3 linked regions of the Diceros bicornis minor genome follow. The protein of the gene in region 1 purifies or fractionates together with the protein of each later gene. This does not show direct contact. Links are inferred from orthologs where the notes say so. Each region holds a gene or a part of one and is shown on either strand. Other genes may lie near its edges.

Region 1 (6,935 bases):
AAAGAGAAGAAAGGGGAGGAAAGGACAAAACGAGCAACTACTCCACAAACCCAAATAGAGTTTATGCTACCCCTCTACTCTCAAAAAATGTGAAAAGTACTCATCTTTTTTCCTGCTATATTCCCAACTTTTCTGTATTAATGTGATTCAGATATATGGGAAGGTTAAGACTTAGTTCAGGACTGCTTAAAGGTGATGGGACTTCCTTAATATGGCTACGGATGATACAAAAACTATTCCTTAATCTACTGACTTGTTAAGGGTGAACTCCTAGCCTCAAACTTCAATATATCCCATCCACCACCTCAAACTGTCCTTTTCCTGAACAGAGCTTAACTCTTCCTCCAGTACCATTAAATAATCCACATAAATTGATTCCAATTCCCCAGAATAGAGTTAAACAATACAAATAAGGTTCAACATACCATGCAAAACAAAAGATAAAGGTACTGCAGGAACAAAGAGAAAAGCCAGCATTTATACAAAACCAAATCATTCAAATGCACTCTCACCTTCTTCCATTCCCCACACCTGATAAATTGTTTGGTGACTAAAACTATGGGATCACTTGGCACAAACAAAAATGAATTATTGCACCCAATAAAGGAGTTGACACAGGCAGTGGCTGATTCCTGAGGAGTGTCTTCCTCTTCTTCCTTTCCAGTGAATCCCTATCTCATGCCCAACAGTCACTGGAGTTCCTTCCCACCTGGCAGATCCTTAAGGAGACACCTAACGTTTACACAACGTAACGAAATGGCTTTATCTAAAGAGTCCTATGTTAAATAATGAAGGCTTTGGTCAAAAAGCCTCAGCACTCAACACCAAAATATGATTATCACTAAACTGTCACCTATTTGGGAGCTACAATCATGAGCTTCCAAGTCGGTTTTTAAAACAAGTTTAAAAAAAAAAAAAAAACCTTCCTCTACGCCCTTTTTGGTTATCACAGCAAGTTTACTAAAAGGCTAAAATTCTACAAAACAGAAAGCACTCAAATATAATTTCATGTTTCCTCCCAAGGGCACTGATAGATTAAGAGGTGAACCTATTTGGGGCATGATGGGGAAGAAGAAAAAAAACTTCCATTATGAGCATTTGTTTGACTTCTAAACACTGAAATAAAGACAAATCTGACCTTGAGCTGTACTTCCCCATCTTATTCCCCTCCCCCTGCCCACAGGAACCTTGTTCAATACAAAGAGTAATTTAAGGATTTACAAAATGAAATTTAGTACAGTACCTTTCCTAGGTTTCAGTTCGAGGTCTTTTCTCTTAATTTTCAAATTCCTGAATCCTAATGTATGATGATACAGAGACCAGCCCTGAGGCTATTCATATGACCAAACTGGCATCAAGGAAAAAGCCCTACATAACATTTTTAAAAAGAAGCTTAGGTAATTAAAAGAAGTCTAAAGATCTATAGCATTTGATTCCAACTATGTCTCACCCTACAACAGCATTAAAACCACAGAAGCACATACATGATTTCTTGTTTTTATAATACTACAGTTTAAAGGATGTGGAAGTAATTCAAGTACCTAGGTCCAAAATGGGGGGAGGAGCAATTAAACAAAGCAGCCTGGGACTGACTAAACAGACACTACACACATTGAGATAAAGTTCTCAAAAATGACTAAAGAACCTCTGGGGCAAAGGAGCAAAGAAAAACTGTTCAAATCTGTACCTCAAATCTCTTATTTAAAATGGAAAAAAGAAAATAGGATCTGCTGGGATCCCCTACGTTCATAATCCAAAAACCCAAGCCTCAACTGAGGGCGTGGGATTGGTTAAGATCCCCAATGAACGGGCACTCCCAGACGGGTGACAACCAAAATACAGTTACTCAACGTTATCTGAAATAACTTTATTTTTCAACAGGTCTTTCCATTGTCATAACGGTGCGTGTAAACAGGAAAGTCATCATTTTTACAAACTGGCAGACTGAGGCACAAGCATGGGAAAGGGACCAGAAGTCATGGTCTCCTTGTTTCCTGTTCAGCGTTCTATCCACCAGAATCCACAGCTTATGGAGCCAGAAAATGATTACAGGACCTTCGAGCTCTCCGGGATGAGTCCGAAGAAAGGGAGCGTGAGTGAGGTCCTTCCAGACCTCCGCCAAAAGACGGCGAGGTTGAACGTAAAGCCTAAAAGCCCCTCACTCCAAGGTGTGCCGGCCTACGGGAAAGAAATCCGATCGCAGCATCTCAGCTGGCCTCCGCCCAAGGATGAAGTGCAGTGATTCCCACTCTCCCCTTACCCCACCCTCCTCCAAGACTGCCCCCCACCACAAGCCCAAGGAACCCCTCTGCTCGCAAAGGTTCTCCTTTGTGAGACTCCACAGCCGCCGCCCCACATTGGGCCTCCAGAGAAAAGCCACCGCCCCCACCCGCCATATTTCCCTGAAAGGCGCCCGCGCTACAGCTCCCGGTCGCCACTCTCCCCCATGTGGCGAGTGTTTCTTCTTCCATCTCCCCACCCAATTGTTTTCCACATCCCAAGACTAGCCCAGAAGCTCCCCTGAGGACTGCTCGCCCGGAGACAGCACCCGCCATCTCCTCCCCCTCCCCCGCCCCGGGACTCGCCCTCCCCCAAGCCGCCATTTTACAACCAACTCCTCCACCCTATGGCCTCGGCCTCCTGGCTCGAGAGTGTCTGCAGCTGAGGACGCCGAAGGGGTCACATTCCTGGGCCTGGAGCCTCCCACCGCTCCGGGAGCCCACAGGCCATTTCCTGCTTCCCGAATCCACATCCCCGGGCCAGGCTCGGAGACGACGCCGCCATTTTGTCTCCTGCTCCTGGCCTCTGTGGGCGGCGGCAGAGGGTCCGAGAATTCCAGCCCCCCGTTGCCCCCCCAACTCACCGTCGTATCGCTCAGCCTGCTCGGCCAGCTTCGCCTGGTACACCAGATCCTCCCGATCATCCATAGCGGCAGCGGCTCCGGCAGGGTCTGCGCGACGGATGGAAGCGGATAGCGTCTCCGACTCTCTCAGCCTCTCGCTCCGCGTCCGGGCAGCAAAAATGGCGGCGCCTCAATCCGGGACTTCCGCCTGCGCACGCGGACAACTGCTCAGCTCTATGGCAACCGCTCCCTGGCAACTGGCGCGGGGGGCGGGTCCGGGAGCTCGGCGCCCTAAGAGACTGGAACCAGCAAGACGCCCCTCCTCCGTGGGCTCAGCGGGCGCCAGAGGGCTGAGGCGGGAACTGCGATTGCGGAGAGGGAGAGCAGCCCCGAGGGAGCGAGGGACGCCAGAGGCGAGGCTGGCTTGGACAGCTCCTGAAGAGAGTGAGCGAGAGAGCCTGGGCCCTGAGCGAGGGCGGACGCCTGACTGGGGGCAGAGAAAGCCGGAGGCTGTAACTGTTTTTGTAATGGCAGGCCTTCCTCACTGAAACCACCTTGCTCTCTCTCCTACTTTGCCCTGTTTTCTCAGCCAAGCCCCATCCTGGGCCTGTTTAGACCCTTTTGACCCCAGGTAAAGAGTTGGGACCTGCTATGGTTGGTGGGAGAAGGGGGCTCCAGTTTTCACACCTCAACTTCACCCTCGCACTTCGCCATCTTTTTTTTTTCCTGCCCTTTAGCTTTCTTTTTCCCCTTAGGCCCACCATGGATAGGAACAGGGAAGTTGTTCAAGGAGCCTGGTCTGGGGCTGGCTCCGTGGCTTAGCGGTTAAGTGCATGCGCTCTGATGCTGGCGGCCCAGGTTCGGATCCCAGGCACGCCCCAAGGCACCACTTCTCCGTCCAACCTGAGGCCGAGTCCCACGTACAGCAACTAGAAGGATGTGCAGCTATGACATACAACTATCTCCTGGGGCTTTGGGGGGAAAAAAATGAATAAATAAAATCTTTAAAAAAAAAAAAAAAAGGAGTCTGGTCTGGAGTGCAAGGTGCAGAAGAGTGAGACGAAGATCAAATTAAGATTGAGGAGACAGGAAGGGAAATTGCTTCACACAGGAAAGAAGCTGTTTTGCTTCCCAATGGATTCCTAGCACCTTGTACTCAATACCATATCTGTTGCAAGACTGAAGCTCAGGTAACTAGAACATAAGCTGTGTGGTGGGGTCTGCAGTAAATGTAGAATAAAAAGTAGGTTGGAACCTAATTATGAAGAGCCTTGGATGGCAAGCTAAGAAGTTTGCACCTTATTCAGTGGGCACAAGCTATTTTTTGATGATTTTGCATGGAGGATGACACCATCATAGTTATACTTTAGAAAACTAATATGTTGTACAGAGCAGTGATTAAAGAGGAGGATAAATTCTCAGGCTATACTACAATAATGCAGGCAAAAGGTAATAGACGGTAGCAGTGAAAATAGGAAGGAAAGGACAAACAGGAATAGTAAGTACTGCAGACGGAAGCCAGAAGAGTTTGTAGCTGATCAGATGTAGAGATCTTGTGAGGGGACAAAAAATTAAAATTGACTTTCCATCTTCCCACCTTGAATCACTGGGATACTGAATGGCAATACCATTAACAAAAAGTAGGAATACTAGGAAAGTTTGGTGATGGAATGCAGAGGAAAACACGAGTTCCTTTTAGCACATGTTGGTTCTAAGGTTCTCAAAGATCTCACAGGTAGAAATAACCAGCGTGGAAATGGAAAGGTGGACTGGCATTCCAAACTGAAGGGAGGCTGCCGTGGAAGCAGCTGGAGAGTGTGTAGAGGTAGAAGAGGACCATACACAAAACCTTGGAAAATACCTACTTTTAAGAGATAGGTGAAAGCAGAAGAGCCAGCAGAGGAGACTGGATGGCTCCTTACTGCATTCCAAACTAAGCCCCTTCACACTTGTAACAAATATTAAATTTCAATGGTAAAAGACTGAAAATCAAAAACTTGGGTTCTAGTCCTAATTCTATAACTAAATAAATGTGTGACCTTCAGCAAGTCATTTCACCTCTGAGCTTCATGTTCATCTGTAAAGTTAAGGAACTGAAGACCATATGTTACGCCATAAAACAAGTCTTAAATATTAAAAGTTGAAATCATATGAAGTATCTTGTCCTACCACAATGGAATGAAGCTAAAAATCAATAACAGAAGGAAAACTGGACAATTAACATATATGTGGAAATGAAATAACATTCTTAAATAACTGATGGGTCAAAGAAGAAATCACAAGGGAAGTGAGAAAATACCTTGAGATGAATAAAAACAAAAACACAATATACCAAAACTTATGAGATGTGGCAAAAATGGTACTAAGAAGGAAATTTATAGTGGTAAATGCTTACATTAAAAAAGAAAGATCTCGGGGCTGACCCGGTGGTGCAAGCAGTTAAGTGCGCATGCTCTGCTGCGGCGGCCCAGGGTTCACTGGTTCAGATCCCGGGTGCGCACCGACGCACCGCTTGGCAAGCCATGCTGTGGCAGCATCCCATATAAAGTGGAGGAAGATGGGCATGGATGTTAGCCCAGGGCCAGTCTTCCTCAGCAAAAAGAGGAGGATTGGCAGATGTTACCTCAGGGCAGATCTTCCTCACAAAAAAAAAAAAAGAAAGAAAGATCTCAAGTTAGTAACCTAACTGTACACCTTAGGAACTACAAACAGAACAAAGTAAACCCAAAGCTAGCAGAAAGAAATAATAAAGATTAAAGTGAAGATAAATAACATAGAAAAAAAATCAACAAACCAAAATTTGGTTTTTTAAAAAGATTAACAAAATTGAAAAACCTTTAGATACATTGACTAAGAAAAAAAGAAGACTGACTAAGAAAAAAAGAAGATTGACTAAGAAAAAAAGAAGAGTCAAATTACTGAAATCAGAAATGAAAGTGGGCTGGGGCCAGCCTGGTGGGGTAGCGGTTAAGTTCACACCTTCTGCTTTGGTGGCCTGGGGTTTGCCGGTTCAGATCCTGGGCACGGACCTACTCACCACTCATCAAGCTATGCTGAGGTGGCGTCCCATATAGAAGAGCTACAACTCTATAACTATGATACACAACTATGTATTGTGGCTTTGGGGAGAAAAAAGGAAAAAGAGGATGATTGGCAACAGATGTTAGCATAGGGCCAATCTTCCTAAAAAAAAAAGAAAGTGGGGACATTACTACCGACCTTACAGAAATATGGATTAAGGGCCAGCCTGGTGGCATAGTGGTTAAGTTTGCACGCTCCACTTCAGCGTCCCAGAGTTCACAGGTTCAGATCCCGGGCACGGACCTACTCAATGCTTGTCAAGTCATGCTGTGGCAGCATCCCATATACAAAATAGAGTAAGATGGTTAGCTCAGGGCTAGTCTTCCTTAGCAAAAAGAGGAGGATTGGCGATGGACATTAGCTCAGGTCTGATCTTCCTCACCAAAAAAAAAAAGAAAGAAAGAGAAATATGGATTGTAAGGGAGTATTTTTAACACTGGTACGCCAATAAATTGGATAACAAATGAAATGGACAAATTCCTAGAAAAACACTGTGACATCCTGAAATAATAAGAAATAACATATTTGGTCTTTGTCCTTGGTTCCTGGAATAGAACTCCTAAAACTCTTGTAATTTCCCCAAGTGATAGGGGTGAGGAGTTTTGTTTGTTATTTACAATAAGCATCTTTCAGTCATACCTGAGTTTATGCTAATGAGGTGACTCTTGGTGTTCCCCTAGATAGCATCAGGATGGGGGCTGGTTGCCAGAGGAATCAAAGGTGATTAGAGGATTAGAAATTTCAACCCCACTCACCCAACTTCTGACCTCCAGGGATGAGAGAGAGGCTGGAGATTGAGTCAGTCACCAATGGCCAATGACTTAATCATACCTAGGTAAAAGAACCTCTGTAAAAAACTTAACGGGGCTCAGAGGGCTTCCAGGTTGGTGAACACATCCATGCCAGGAGAGTGGCACATCCCAAACCATACAGGGACAGAAGCTCACTCTGTGTGTTTCTTCATCTGACTGTTCATTTGCATTCTTTATAATATCCTTTATAGGGCTGGCCC
Region 2 (7,279 bases), about 30 Mb from region 1:
TGAGGAAGATTATCCCTGAGCTAACATCTGTGCCAATCTTCCTCTATTTTCTATGTGGGATGCCGCCACAGCATGGCTTGCTGACTGGTGTGTAGGTCCACGCCCAGGATGGGAACCCTCGAACCCTGGGCCTCCGAAGCAGAGCACACAAACTTAACCACTATGCCACGGGGCTGGCCCCCAGTCAGTGGTTCTTTTTTTTTTTTTTTTTTTAATTTATTTTTTTCCCCAAAGCCCCAGTAGATAGTTGTATGTCATAGCCGCACATCCTTCTAGTTGCTGTATGTGGGACGCGGCCTCAGCACGGCCCGAGAAGCGGTGCATCGGGGCGCGCCCGGGATCCGGACAGGGGCCACCAGTAGCTGAGCACGCGCACTTAACCGCTAAGCCACGGGGCCGGCCCTAGTCAGTGGTTCTTAAACCAGCTTGCCTAATATACTGCAGCCACCAAATGAGAAGACACTGAGTTTCTGGTCCTTTTTTCTTTGGGGATCTAGATCCTACCTACATAGTTCCTTTCCTCCCCATCACCGTCTCTCCATATACTCACATATTTAAATTTTTTGAAAATGTCTTGAAATGTGAAAACAGGCTGACATCTATTTTCATGTTAGACTATGAAATGTAGCCAACACATCTGGGCACTCTAACTAGTTTAGCAGTCAAGAAAGTGGGGGAGGGGGGAGTGCCGGCCAGCCCTGTGGCTTAGTGGTTAAGTGCGCTCGCTCTGCTACTGGCAGCCAGGGTTCAGATGCCAGGCGCACACGGACACACCGCTTCTCTGGCCATGCTGAGGCCGTGTCCCACATACAGCAACTAGAAGGATGTGCAACTATGACGTACAACTATCTACTGGGGCTCTGGGGAAAAAAAAGGAGGAGGACTGGCAATAGATGTTAGCTCAGAGCCGGTCTTCCTCAGCAAAAAGAGGAGGATTAGCATGGATGTTAGCTCAGGGCTGATCTTCCTCAAGAAGGAAAGAAAGAAAGAAAGAAAGTGGGGAGTGGGAGGTCTGCACACCGCCAAGTATTTCACACCCCCTTTGGGGCTTAAGACTACCCCCACAATTCAAAGATTTAGTTCAATCACCAAATTCTAGAACACAAGATAAATGTTTGAAGCCTGGGGAGGACAAGAAGAATTATGCACCCCATTTATAGTAAATGTTCAATAAGTATTTGTTCAATTACGTAGTTAAATACAAAGCCTTACTAGGTTCCTTTTTTGCCTACTGTCATAGGAGACTTTCCAAAGAGGAGCAAGCACTTCTGAGGTAAGGGAACGAAACAGTAAGCCCAGCAAATGAACAAACCCATCCCTTACTGAATGAGGGGCAGCATGGAATAGAACAAGGCAGTTCATTCAAAGCCAGAGTGTACAGACAGGCTGCAAAAGAATATCTGCCCAATGTGACACAGCATACACTTAACCCCCTACAAAAATGACTTGACCTTGCTATAGGGCAAAGCAAATATTAATGTTCTCTCTTCACATGGGGCACTTCACAGATGCAATGAATGGCTTTGCAAAGGATCCCTTCACTGAAGTTTACCCCTTTATTATTTAGGATAATACCAAATACTTTGCAAAACTTGTGATTGCGGACAAGAGTATCACAATAACTGATTCAACAAGAGAAGCAAAATACATCTAAAATGTTATTTGCTTCTTAATCTAGTCCAACAGGCATTTGCTAAGTTACCAAAAAGGACATGAAATACAATTCAGTTCAAATGCTGCGTGCGGAAGACATTAAAAGCCTTTCTTAGATTACATCTTCACAACAGAAATTGCAAATATTGATAAAAAGGAAATGATTTCATAGAGACTCTTTTGTGTAGCGAATGCTGCTCTCTTTCAAAAGTTACATAATTTCAGGGATACCGCAAGATAAAAATAATGGATGTAAAACACTGCAACCGGATTTTCAAAAAGCAGGATGTGAATTATAACTGGCAGCCCCCGACCAATTCCTAACCTCCAGCAATCTGCGTGCAGCTCGCATTTCTCAACCGTGCTGTTGATAACAGTGATTGCCGTTTTAATCACCTCGCAGCCTATCTCCCGCACGCCCTCCCCTCTGCTCCCGGGCGCGCACAGGGCTCGAGAGCGAGCCCCGGGAACTCTCGCAGGCCGGCCAGTGTGAGCAAAGGGAAGGAAATGACACAGGCAGGAAAAAAAAGCAAATCAAGGAAAAGACACAACAGCAGCTGGGCCTGCACCAGCCTCCAGCCCGGGCCCCACACTGCGCTCTCGCTCCCCCGCCCTCGGGCTCGCGGGCCGGCTCGCTCGGGCCGGAGCGGGCTGCCCCGCCGAGCACGGGCCCTCGACCCGGCCGCCGCTTCCTCGGGACGCGCCCGCCGCGCGGCCCGGAAGGAGGCTGCCGAGGGGGCTCCGCCGGCCGGGACCGCCCCGGCGGGCCGGGGGCGCCAGAACCCCCACCCGGGCCGCGGAGCCGCGAGCGGGGCGGGCGGGCGCGGCGGTCTGCAGCCCCGGCCGGGCGGGCTGTCCATGCCTGTCAGGCGGCGGCCCAGGGTCCTCCTCCCCTCAGCCCGGGGCGGGGCGACGCGAAGCAGCGCGGGCACAGGCCGGGGCGGTGGCGACACTCACCCATGGTGGCGATGGCGGCGGCGGCGGCTTGGGCCCGAGTGTCACCTGCGCAGCCAGGGCTGCATGCCGGGGGCCCGGGCGGCGGGGACGGCAGCGGCCCTGGCTCCGCGCGGGGGGCGCGGGCTGCGCTCGGGGCCCCCGCCGCCTCCCCAGGCTCCGGCTCCGGCTCCGCCCGCGGCCGGGCGCTGTGGCATGGGCAGGGTGGCCCGCTACATCCCTGGCGCTCCTCGGCTCGGCCCAGCCCGGCTTCGGCGGCGCCGCTCAACCCGCCCGCCCGGCAGTCCCTCAGTCTCGCAGTCTCTCCGTCCGGCCACCGTTCTCCACCTCAGGAACGCTCCGAAAAACAAACCGCTGGTCGCGCAGCTCGCCCCCTTGTCTGTCACTCACCCCAGCACCCACCAATCCCAGGGAGTCGCTGGACCTTCGTACCACCCCTACTCACTTCAACAGCCAATAAGAAGAAGGAAGCCGCTGCTCCCACCGCCCCCCCCCCGCTCCCTCCCCAACTCGCTCTCAGCCGCCAGCTAATCACCAGCACCACACGATGAACCATTCCCGCCTACTCTCACAGGATGCCAATGAGTGAAGCCACGGCTGTTTCTGAGGGCTGTCTACCGCCTGCCAATCATCGGAACAGCGCCTGGTTCACTCCGCTGCTAGCCAATCACGTAGAGGCCTCTGAGCACCCGCCTCTGCGCATCCCCCGGGTCTTGGCTGCCCTCTCTCCCCGGAGGTGTTGGTTACTCCAATCACAGCTCGCGCGTGAAGCTCCGCCCACATCCCCACCTCCCGTCAGTCACCGAAGGTTCGGCGGGCGCGCGGGCTGGCGCGGTTCCCCGCCGGCTACTTTGGGCCAGGAGTTTGTGACGGGGGCTGAAGGGGCCCCCTGGCCTCTCGCCCTCCTGGCTCTCGGCGGTCCCTGAAGCCAGCGTCCTGCCCTTCCCAGTGCCCACACCGGGCGCGTAGTAAGCGGAGAGCGTTCTGGCTCTGAGCGCTTCCCGGCGTGTGTCCACCTCTGCCACCGGATCCCCTGGCAAGTCCGCAGCTCCGGTCCAGACGCTGTGCTTGCCCGGAGGCAGGGGCGGCCTCACCACTGCCCGCCTTTTCCTGGGTCTCATACCTCCGAGGCCACACCCTCCGAGGGGCTGGGGTAGTGCTGGAATGTGGGTCCTTGGAAATATGGGAGTTCCGCTGCTGGCCTGGGCCGAAACCAGTAAGTGGCAAAATCAGAGCGGTTCTTTCGGGAAAAAAAAAACTTTTTTTTCTGGTTATAAAAGCAATACAAGCTCTTTGTATTAAAATTGAAAAAGATACTTAAATAAAAATCCCACCCCAGAAATAATTTTATCTTTTTCCTACCTAGATATACAACGTTTGACAAAGATGTCTTCATATTGGTTTGTAGTGTGCTTACATTTTAAGTGTTTTCCTGTGCTACTGAATATTGTTCCAAATCAATTGTACTGGCTGCATGATATTTCAAAATAGAGAGTGAACATAATTAATTTCCCCATTGTTCAACATTTTATACACTCAGATCTTCAGATTCCAAGTCCACCACAATTAATATGGGCTCCCTTCCTCTGGTCCCTGTTCAAGTGTATTATAAATTAGATGCCAGAATAATCTTCCTCAGATGCCATTTTCAACTATCAACTAAGAACATTTAGTGCTGGCTTTGCCTTGGGTGTTGAATCTCTCAAGAATTACCTTAGACTCCCATATTTACAACCCCCACCCCCAATATTTAATCAGGCCTCTTATCCTGTTAGGTTTTTTTTTCTCCAACAAGCTTTTAAGTCCATCATTTTCACTCTTGATTAGATCCCTACCCAGTTTATTGTAGTTCTTTAACTATAATAATCTCTCTTTTCTGGGAAGGGGAGATAAAGGGGAAAGAAAAGTAATATTTATCAGTCATTTACTATATGCCAGGTACATCATCTCATTTAACCTTTTCAATAACCCTGATGTAAGTGATACTATTGGCATTTAAATGATGAAAGTGAAGCTCAGAGAAGTACCATGTCCAAGTGGTAGAGCCAGGATTCCTACCAGGTCCATCTGACACCCAAAGGCCATGTTCTTTCACTAGGCTAGTGTTTCTTGACTGTTTTTTCATTATCACCCCCTAAGGAGAAAATTTTAAATTACTTAAATTCTCCCTAATGAGAGAAATTAAATACTAAGGAATAAGATTTTGTCAGGTAGGGTTGAGCTTTGAAGGCCACATACCACTGTATTATCTGATTTTTTTTCACCCCTTAAGAATCATTTTTCACCTGTTGGGGATATCACCCTGGTGAGAATGCATGTAATAGGCCAGTGCTGGAGGTCACAATCTGCCAATCTGAGGCTCAGATCTGACCCTTAATTTTATTGACCTGTGAGATAAATATTAAAAAGAGACACATTTATGCCAGTGGAAATCTGTACCCACTCCTTTGCCTGTATCCAGAGGTCTATTCAGCAGCTTCTCTTGGAATGTCTAAAACATGTCTCCAATTTAACATGTTTTACACTGAACTCTTGATTCCTTCCCCCCTTCCCAAAAAACCCTGCTCCTCTATCTTCCCAACTGTTACAATACAAACCTAGGAGGAATATTCCTTGATTTCACTCTTTCTCTAACACCCCTATATCCAATCATTCAGCAAGTCTTTTCAGCTTGCTTCAAATCGTATCTGAATCGAACCACTTCTTACCACTACCACCCTAGTCCTGGCTGCCACCCTCTCTCCTGGATGACTGCCTTACCCTCTTAATTGGTCTCATTTCCTCTGTGATCACCCAACAAATGGTTCTCCACAGAGCAGCCAGAGTGATCCTTGTAAAATGTAATTCAGATAATGTCACTCCCCTGCTGTCAAGTCTCCAATGGCTTCCCATCACACTTGGAATAAAACCCAAACTTTGTCGTGGCCTTCCAGGCCCAACAGGAGCTGGCCCCTGCCATCCTCTCCTGTCCCATGTCTACCACTGGCCTTCTTACCATACTTTGAACCTACCAAGTTCAGGACCTTTCACCTCAGGTCCTTTGCACTTGCCATTTGTTCTGCCTGGAATGCTCTTCCTCAAGATGTTCCCATGGCTAATTCCTACATTTCATTCAGGTCTCTGCTCAAACATCAACTACTTAACAGTTCCTAACCACCCCATCCAAAATAGTTTCTCTCTCCTCCGTCATTCTGTATCCCCATATTCTGCCTTATTTTTCTTCATAGTGCCTGTAATTATATATTTGCTTATTTGTCTTCTCTCCACCTACAATGAACATAAGCTATGTAGGAGCAGGGACTTGGTCCTGTTCACTGCTCTATCACCAACACTTAGAATAGTGCCTGGTATATAGTAGAGAACTGCCATACAACTACTAAGCCATAGCTGAAAAGAGCCTTCTGATTTTCCTTCTACTGTTCTAGTAACTGCTTTTTTTGAGGGCTTCATTTCCATTGTCTGTCCCTTAACCAGCCGTCTCAGACATTCTCACACTGCACTTAGCATACTGGACTATCTTCCGAACTCTAGAGGCGTCACTCCTTGCGTATCTATCCCATAGGCACTTTGGACTCCACAGGTCCAAACTGAATTCATCATCTTCCTCCATAGTTCTCTATTTCCTCTCTCCATCTTCAGTTCCCCAAGTTGGATGCCTTCGAGTTGTCTAACTTGGAGAGCTCTTCCTCTCCATTTCCCTTCCCCCAGAGCTAATCTAGACCATGTCTCCAATCTGTCCACTCCTCTCCTGTCCCCAGCTCCACCATCCTAGTTCAAACCACCAAAATCTCTTACTTGGATTAGTGTAACAGCCTCCCAATGTGTGCTTACATCACAGGGTGATCTTTTCAAAACAGACACCTGATCTTGTCATGCTCTGCTTAAAAACTTTATAGTTTCCCATCGCCCTTAGGATAAGTCAAATACAGGAATGTAGCTAAGAAGGCCCTTCAGGAGCCAGGCCATTCTCCAGCCACAAGTTTTTCATTTTCCCACCTCCCCAACCCTATCATTCAAATTCTATATTCTGGCCACACAGAACCACTGGCAATTCCTCAAATATGACTCTCTCCCGCCTCTACACCTCTGCATGTGCTATTTTTCTCTGTTTCAAACTCTCTTTTCCTGCACTCTTGCCTCCACCCCCGTTCTGTCAGGGAAGAACTAAGCATAAACATCACTCTCTCCAGGAAACCTTTCTAGGCAGATACCCCCAAATCTGGGTACCAGAGCACCTGGTACTTTCTTGATCAAAGTACTTGTCCTACTCTAATGTGATTGCCTTTAAGAAAGTAAACACAGAGACAGAAGCTGTGTCATTCAAATTGGTATGTCTAGCATCTTTCATAACACATTCAAAAAACAAGTATTTGTTGAATAAATGAACCTCAAATGGGGATGCTAGTAATTGAATATAATTTCCACAAGTGTGCCCTTTTAGCTATATATTTTATCTGCTCTTTCTATGTTGTTTCTCCCCTCACTCTTCATTTTCCCCATGTGAAGGCTCCCAGCTAGGCCATGCCTTCTCAATTCTGTTCCCCTGGTTTTACACTGAGTAGATGCCCTTGGTTAAGCACCTGAGCCATATCTGACCCCAAAGATCACAACCTACCCTTAGTGCTCAGGACCTCAGAAAATGCTGGTCCCGTTAGGCAGCCCAATCATACAC
Region 3 (7,484 bases), about 26 Mb from region 1:
CCCCTGAGCACCTCCCACCCTCTCCCGTATCCCTGAAGACTCACTCCTCTTTCCTTAGGGCACACAACAGCAGGCCTGGGTGAGGGGCAGAGAGTTCTCTGCTGTTCCTGGTTCCCCTCAATTTCTTTCAGTGCAGGAACTTGCCTATTTGGCAAGTGTTTGTTGAGTATCCCCAACATTTTTTTTTTTTATAAATTTTATTTTATTTATTCATTTTTTTTTGTGAGGAAGATCAGCCCTGAGCTAACATCCATGCCAATCCTCCTCTTTTTGCTGAGGAAGACTGGCCCTGAGCTAATATCCATGCCCATCTTCCCCTACTTTATGTGGGACGCCGCCACAGTATGGCCTGACAAGCGGTGCGTCGGTGCGCGCCTGGGATCCGAACCCGGGTGGCCAGCAGTGGAGCGCGTGCACTTAACTGCTACGCCATGGGGCCGGCCCCCTCCCCAACATTTCTGACTCTGACCTTAGCCTGAGGGGAAACAGAAGAAAAAGTAGAAGATGGTCCATCTCTGTCCTCATTGCAAGCGAGTTAGTAAGAGAGAGTGTCCCGAATGAGGGGCGGCAGGCCGGGACTTGGAGCAGTTTACTTCTGGGGCTCACCCCTCCTCCTTGGGGAATGGGAGCTGATCGACTTACCTGTGGGCTGGACTGGGCTGGATGCCAGCATTTGGCCTGATTTGCCTCTTGCAGTCCTGGGAATACAGGCAGAGGCCACTGCTTCCCTGAGGAGGCCTCTCCCTGGTATCTGCTTCTCTTCAGGCAAAAGGGGGCTCAAGGAGTGAGCTTTTCTTTATTTTTCTGAAACTGATCATGTCTGCTCCCCTCAGTGGGATTGAAGGACTGACTGAATCTGGCCCCTGCCTGGGCTCTGCCGGCCAGGTCGGAGGACCTCCCTGGGTCCTGGGCAGAGGCTTGCTCTGATCACTGTCCTATCCTCTGTGCCCTTGCCCAGAGGTGAGGGCAAGAGTGAGGCCCACCGTGCGAGCCAGTCTAGATGGTGACAGGGTCCCAGGAGGAGGCAGCCAGGTTCCTTAGCCGCAGCGTGGGAGGGAGACAAGCTTCATGACAACGCCTCCTTGCCCAGCACCTCCCAGCACGCTCCCTACTTTCTCTCCTTCCCTTTTCCAGGAGGGAGGGCGGGCAGCTGCCCCCTCCTTTCTGGGTGACCAGAGAAACTGGGGCATGGGCGTGGGGTAGGCCAGGAACCTCGGCATCCTGCCTCCCAGCCTTGGGCTTGGGCTCTGCCTCTGAGCCCCTGGGGAAGGCGAGCAGCCAGCCCTGAGGAGGGGAAAGTGGGTCAGTGGCAGCATGGGGCAGGGGTCGGGGAAGTAGATTCCTGGCGTCCCTTCTCCACTTAGATGTCGCTGGCGCACCTCTGTGTTCACTATAGATTGGGATCTGCTCTGCCCTCCTCTTCTCTGTTCCATCATTCCAAAGGGATTGAAGGCTTAGAATGGATGGTCAGAGGAGGCAGGGTCAACCCCGAGGGGATGTGGAAGATGCCAAAGGAGATGTTCACGTTTTTCCTGGACTTGGTTTCAAGTGAGAGAGTTCAGCCAGCACCTAGCATGAGACCTGGCACATGGCAGCTCCCAGGCAATGCTGACGGGCTCCAGCATGACTGGGCTCAAAGGGCAGGAGGGAGCCGGAGGGCAGGCAGGCCCCAGGGCAGCTGGCACTCCACACTTCATCTGGGGTGCTCCTGGGCCAGCTCTTGGCTTTTTTACTGTGCACAAAGCAGACGGGGCTTTCTTCCTTTCAATCAGGGCGCCCTCCAGCCTTTTGGGCCCAAGAAATGGGAGCCTGCAAGAGCTCAAGGAGCCAGCATTGGGTTCTCCTCCTCCAGGTTTAGAGGGTTAGGAGGCCTGCACCCAGCCTTCAAGGGAGGGAACAAGGTCAATGTGGTCTGGAGGGGTTAGTGCTGGCTCCGAAGGAGGCTCGTATACCCCATGCTTGGTAAGTGCTCTGTAAGGTTTGTGGGATGACACTTGGGAGAGCTGGATGAGTGGGCATGGAGAAGAGAAATGAACCATGAGGAGAGGGGCTATAAAGCAGGAAGGATTGAGGTTAGACTTTGGAACGATTGAGGTTGGACATATTTGCATCACTTGAATCTCAGAAGGAAAAAAGACACTTGTCCCCATCCCAGCCCTCCTCTCTTATTCCCCTGGAGGATTCTGGGAACTGCACCGTGGGTTGTCTGGCTGTGTCTGGCACTTTGCTTCCCACTTCAGGTCCGGACTTCATGAAGTCGGGACAGTGTTGAGAATTGCCCGGAGCCCTTGGCTCTGCACCCCTGGGTGTGCAGTCTCCTGGGTGCCCCTATCTTCCCTAAGCAAGGAGTTCTCTTTCCTTAGGTTTTTGGCTATTCCAGGTTCTGGGGGCCCTGCTTTTAAGTTGCTGTAGCTGATGACTTCCTTTCCTCCAGATCAGGGCTCCCCTACCGTACTCTCCTGTGCCTGGGGCAGGCAGAGAGAGCCAGGACAGGGCTAGCCAGCCCTTCTGGTTGCTCCCAGCGTGGGTGGGCGGAGTCCTGGGCTGGGAGGGGCTGCTGCCCCTGGCTTTCTGGGCTCCCTTGAGTCTGCTGCCCATCACCCCGCTGAGGGACATGGCCTTCCCTTCCCTTTCTCTTGAGAGAGAGCCTGGTTGGCCAGGTTGAGGTTGGGGCAGGGGGTGTTGAATCAGGTCCCCAGACGTGCCCTGAAGTGTCCACTAACACCAGAGGCCTGTGGGGAGCACTGCTCCATCACTGTTTTTCTAGAGTCTGCTGGCTGAGAAGCTGAGGATCCAGCTTTGTTTAGGTTCTGTTCCCCCCTCTCCCCTAATATACATCTTGCCAGCCAGTCTAGGGCCTGGGAAAGCCCACCTCTGCCACTTCCCCTCTCCATGTGCTCCCTCCACCTGAGGGCAAGGAGGCCCCTTTGCTGTCCCTGGCTGGCAGAAGCCCTCTGGGAAGATGGGCTCCAGGAGCCACAGCCACTGTGTCCTTGGTTGGCCAGCTCCTCCTGGGCTCCTGACAGGAGGGTGAGGTTATCCAGTCCAGGGAGAGGACAGGTGTCCCTGGCTCCATGCCTGGAGTTGGGGGCAAGGAGGGGCCAGGAGGTGCCTCCAAAATAGCAACTGTGACATCAGGAAGGGGGAGGGGAGACACAGACCCAGGAATAACCAGGCTATTAAAGGCTGCAGTGAGGTCAGGGGGCCAAGTGGGATCTCTGGACCAGTGGGAGGCACAACCTGAGGAGAAGAGATGGCCTAGAAGTGGGCAGTGTGGGTGGGCGTCACCAATCCTCATGGTGCAATAGCCTGAGGTCCCAGCAGGGCCCCACAAGCAAGGGCTCCTCTGCCAGGCTTGGGGCTGGTGGGAAAGAGCTGGATGCTGGCAGCCTCTTGACTCTATTCTTAAGGAGGCTCCAGCCTCAAGTCTGTACCTACTTGGGTATTGGGGGTCACTGTACCTGTTAATGGAAACCCTAGGGCAGTTTCATATACTCCCTTGTGCAGGAGGCAGTGGGCTGTGGTGGTTAGAGGTCAGACTTGAGCCTCAGACATCCCAGCCCTACCATTTAAGCAGCTGTATGACCTAGCATGAGTGACTTCATCTCTCTGTGCCTTGGTTTCCCCATCTGCACCTATCTACTGAGGTCATTGTGCAGAATAAATATGGTAATGTATGTACTGCTTTTAGCATTGCACCTGGCACATTGCCAGGGAAGAGCTAGCTGTGTTCTGAGAATGGGCAGGTGATCCCTGGTCCTCTTTCCCTGGGCGAGGGCGAGGCCTGTCCGGGAGGAGTCTCCCTGCCCACTGGAAAGAAGCCACACAGCCTGTGGAGGCACCACCTCTAATGGGTAGGAGGAAGCTGCCAATTAGCTACTGCTCTGGGGTCTCCCTGCTGGTTGCGAGGGCAGGGAGGCACCTTCCAGTTCTGAGGGAAGGCAGAAGTTAAATAAATTCCCTTCTGGCTGTTAGAAGGACTCCAGGGAAGATGCAAGGTTAGGCCAGGTGGCCCTGCCTGCCACCCTCTCCCAGACCCTTTTGGTTCCTTTACCTGCTCTGGATGGCGAGAGGGAAGATAGAGGATAGAATCTGGCTTTTTGGTCTCCATCCCCTTGCCTGCCAAGAGCAGGGCCAGAGCTGCTCCCAGACGCATGGGTATTCGGCAGTCCTCCCCCAGCCCAGCCTCTGGCCACCGGGCTCTGTGGCCTTGGCCCTGAGTGCAGGCCCTCCCCTGTTCCCATCCCCCTGCCTGGCGCTTCCTCCTGGGGTGGAACGCGCCTCCCCCCCCCCCATGGGGCCTCCGCCAGGCCCGGGCTCCTGGCAGCCGGCCGGCGGCTCCCTGAGCATGCTCCACCTATTTATAGACAGGGCCCTCCCCCAACTGCTATTTCAGTCTTCTGCCAGCTGCCGGCGGCTCATTCGGGAAGGAGGAGCAGGGAGCCGGGCCCAGAGCTGTCACCTAGGGCTGGGAGGGAACACAGAGAGCCCGCCTTGCCTGCTGAGCTCCCCTTCCTGTCCCGAGTGCTGAGCCATACCCCAGCTCCAGAGAGCTGGGGAAAGGCCGGTGGTCAGATGCCCCTCTAGAGGAGAGCTGGGCCTGTAGCTCCAGGGCCTCCCGGCTCCTCCTGCGGCAAGGAGTGCCCAGGCCGGATGAGGCACCTCCCCACAGTGCGGGTCCCCGCAGCAGTGGCCTGAGGGAGCCCCTGAGCAGTGAGGGCCCTGCCCCACCACCTTCCCTTTGGCCGACTCCCGCCTCCGGCGGCCCCCTCCCTGGCATGCTGCTGGTACCCAAGGCTCAGGGGCTTGTGGAGATGCTGCAGACCATCTATGAGACAGAATCCTGTTTCTCAGCAGATGGGATGTCAGGCCGGGAACCATCCTTGGAGATCCTGCCTCGGACCCCTCTACATGGCATCCCCGTGGCAGGTAAGTACCTCGGTGTCCTCACTTGCCCTCTGCCATTGGGCATCCTTGTCCCTGGGGCTGAGCATCTTGCTCCAAGCCTCGCCCAGATGGGGTCTTGCTGGATCTTTCTGGAGGGCTTTGTTCAGAATATGGGTGGTCAGGGGAGCCTTGCTCACTGAGTGGGCTTTCCTGCCCTCCCTGGCCCAGAACCTGCCCTCCTGCCATGCCTTCCAGCTGCACTGTGCTGCATCCCCTTGAGTCCCTTTGGCCTCCAGCAGGGTCAGCATCAGCTGCCGGGGGCTGTGTATTACTAGAGGATCCTGGCCTAGTTGGCATGGTGGTCAGAGGGGAGGAAGTGGGTCCTCTGCCTCTGGGCCGCCTACTCCCCAGGTCTGGGCAGAGGAAGAAGCCATAGCTGGAGGGTCCATAAGAATAAAGGCTACCCCAGCTCCTCTGGCTGGGTTCTTAGGGGCAGAGGATCGATACAGTGAATTCTGCAAGTCCCCACTCAGGAGTCCCCTGGGAATCAGACACCTGGGGAGCAGGCTTGATGCACTTGTGGTCAAGTTAGGCAGAGGCTGGCAAGTAGGATGTTGGGGGCCTGGCTGCCTTAGTTCCTAGCTCCCCCATATCTCTCCTTCCCCCAGGCCTTGGTTTCTTCCCATCAGATGAGGATGAAGGGATGTTACTGTGGCTCATACAGGCTTGAGGACCCCCTAGCCCTGCCACCTTTTCAGCAGGGACTTTTCTGGCTCTTTGCTGGGGGTGGGGTCCCCCAGAGCTGGGCCACTCCCTCCCAGGAACCTGTTGGCAGCATCAGGCCTTTTCTGGCACAGCCTCCCAACCAGGCCGGCACCACAAGATGCTTCCTCTAGGGAGGGGCCTGCTGGACCCATGCCTGTTTGGCCCCTCCTGGCAGTGGCTTGGCACTTGGGTGTGGGTGTCTATGTGTGTATGTATAGGGAGTTTTTGCCTCTGGATATGTGGGTGTGGGTCCCAAGCTTTGAACTGGAAGTTGGGAGCTGTGTGCCTATGCAGGTACCTGTGATTTGGCTCTGAGTTGTCCAGGGATAAGGTTGCAGCTGGACTGGGATGTGTCAGAGGATGAATGTTTTGGGAAGATTTGGAAAACCCTTGGAACAAGGCCGGCTGTCTGCCTGGGCAGGGATGCCCATGCAGTCTCCCAGGGGAGGGGCATAACCCTGGGGGCCAGTCTTGCAGGGCAACCACGCAGGCCGCTGGGATGGGGGCATAACCCTGGGAGTCAGTTGTGCAGGGTACCCACGCAGGCCCCTGGGAGGAGGTATAAGCACAGAGGGCTGGTCTAGCCCTGATCTAGTTGAGCCTGCAGCTCTAGCTAAAGACCCTGCCTGCTGACCCCTACCCCAAAACCTCTGGAGGTCAAGGTGGTCTCTTGGAAAGCAAAGGACCGACTGTGCAGAGCATTTGCTTGGGAGCAGCTCCACCCATCTGGCAGATGCCGTATCAGTCCACCCATCCTGCCCTGTCCCCCCCGTCCCTTGCCTCCGAGCAGTGGCTGGTGGTTGGCCTCCTCAGCATATTGTCTCACCTTCTTTCAAGTTAGACTCCAGAAACCTTGCAAGCTGGAACCCTGCTACCCCCATCCCTTCCCTAAGGCTGCCTGTCCCTGCATAGATCCCCCCAGCCAGTCTCTCTCTCCAGATCCTTTTTGCACCCCCCCGCCCCGCCCCATGTACACTGCCTAGCCTTCTGAGTGGTGGCGTGGTCCATACTGGCAGGAGGGAGGCGTGAGTCACCTCAGCGGCTCGGGGAGAGGGCTAAGAATGTTCCCCCTGCGCAGCTCTGATGCTGTGTCTCTGACGCGGCTGGGGACAGATATAGGCCTGGAGCTCGCCTGCCTTGTTTTTTTTTTTGGACTCTGGAATGTAAATAGATGTTTCAAATAGAAACGCTTTAACCTTTGGGTTAAAAAAAAATCCACCCCAGATAAACACGGCCATGAGGGCCCAGGCAGCCTGGTGTTCCCCCCACCCCCCACCTCCTCTCCCATCTCTTGATCAGTCTCCAGACAGGATGCAAAAGCCCATGGCTGAAAAAGCAGGTGGCCAGGGACGCCTCTTGGGCAGTGTGTGTCGCCTGGCCTTCTCAGCCCCAGGGTAGGGGCAAGGGGCTTTCCAGGGTGGCTGTCGACCCTGGGCTCTTTGATTACTCTAGCAGCAAGTCTTGGGAACCCTATTTTAGGGGCATCCTTTGCTTTCTGCTGTTCCCCAGCACTTAGCACAGTGCCTGGCACATGGATGAATGAATATTGCTTGAGGGGGCTGGCGTCCAGGGCTGATGGCAGGATTCCTGGGCTCTATTCTGGGGCTTGGCCCTCTGAGTGACTGGAGACAGCTATAGTGAGCTGCCCCAGCGGGGAGCCAGAGCCTTGGCAGGCGGAGCCCATGAGGGATGCAGGGCACTCTCTGCTGTTCCTGCCTGAGGAGAGGGACAAATCGCACCTGCCTAGTGTGATCAGAGGTCTTCCTTGACCAACGGGGTCTCTGCCTAGCTCCTTCAAAACAGCCCAGCATACAGTGGCTACTTCCCTCATC

What was found. The genes of interacting proteins can lie anywhere in the genome.
Region 2: the proteins of YWHAE (region 1) and MAP3K3 purify together in Homo sapiens (affinity purification with mass spectrometry; 7 studies listed by BioGRID and IntAct, with this or other methods). This does not show direct contact. The link is inferred for Diceros bicornis minor from reciprocal best matches to the Homo sapiens genes YWHAE and MAP3K3.
Region 3: the proteins of YWHAE (region 1) and HDAC5 purify together in Homo sapiens (affinity purification with western blotting; 7 studies listed by BioGRID and IntAct, with this or other methods). This does not show direct contact. The link is inferred for Diceros bicornis minor from reciprocal best matches to the Homo sapiens genes YWHAE and HDAC5.

The regions. Positions count from the first base shown.
Region 1 is NC_080757.1:16,308,206-16,315,140, reverse strand, and holds the start of YWHAE (14-3-3 protein epsilon), read right to left. Parts: upstream 3,019-6,935; 5' UTR 2,928-3,018; coding exon 2,864-2,927; intron 1-2,863. UniProt on the Homo sapiens protein: Adapter protein implicated in the regulation of a large spectrum of both general and specialized signaling pathways. Binds to a large number of partners, usually by recognition of a phosphoserine or phosphothreonine motif.
Region 2 is NC_080757.1:46,479,116-46,486,394, reverse strand, and holds the start of MAP3K3 (mitogen-activated protein kinase kinase kinase 3), read right to left. Parts: upstream 3,002-7,279; 5' UTR 2,615-3,001; coding exon 2,611-2,614; intron 1-2,610. UniProt on the Homo sapiens protein: Component of a protein kinase signal transduction cascade. Mediates activation of the NF-kappa-B, AP1 and DDIT3 transcriptional regulators.
Region 3 is NC_080757.1:42,737,365-42,744,848, reverse strand, and holds the start of HDAC5 (histone deacetylase 5), read left to right. Parts: upstream 1-4,483; 5' UTR 4,484-4,778; coding exon 4,779-4,929; intron 4,930-7,484. UniProt on the Homo sapiens protein: Responsible for the deacetylation of lysine residues on the N-terminal part of the core histones (H2A, H2B, H3 and H4).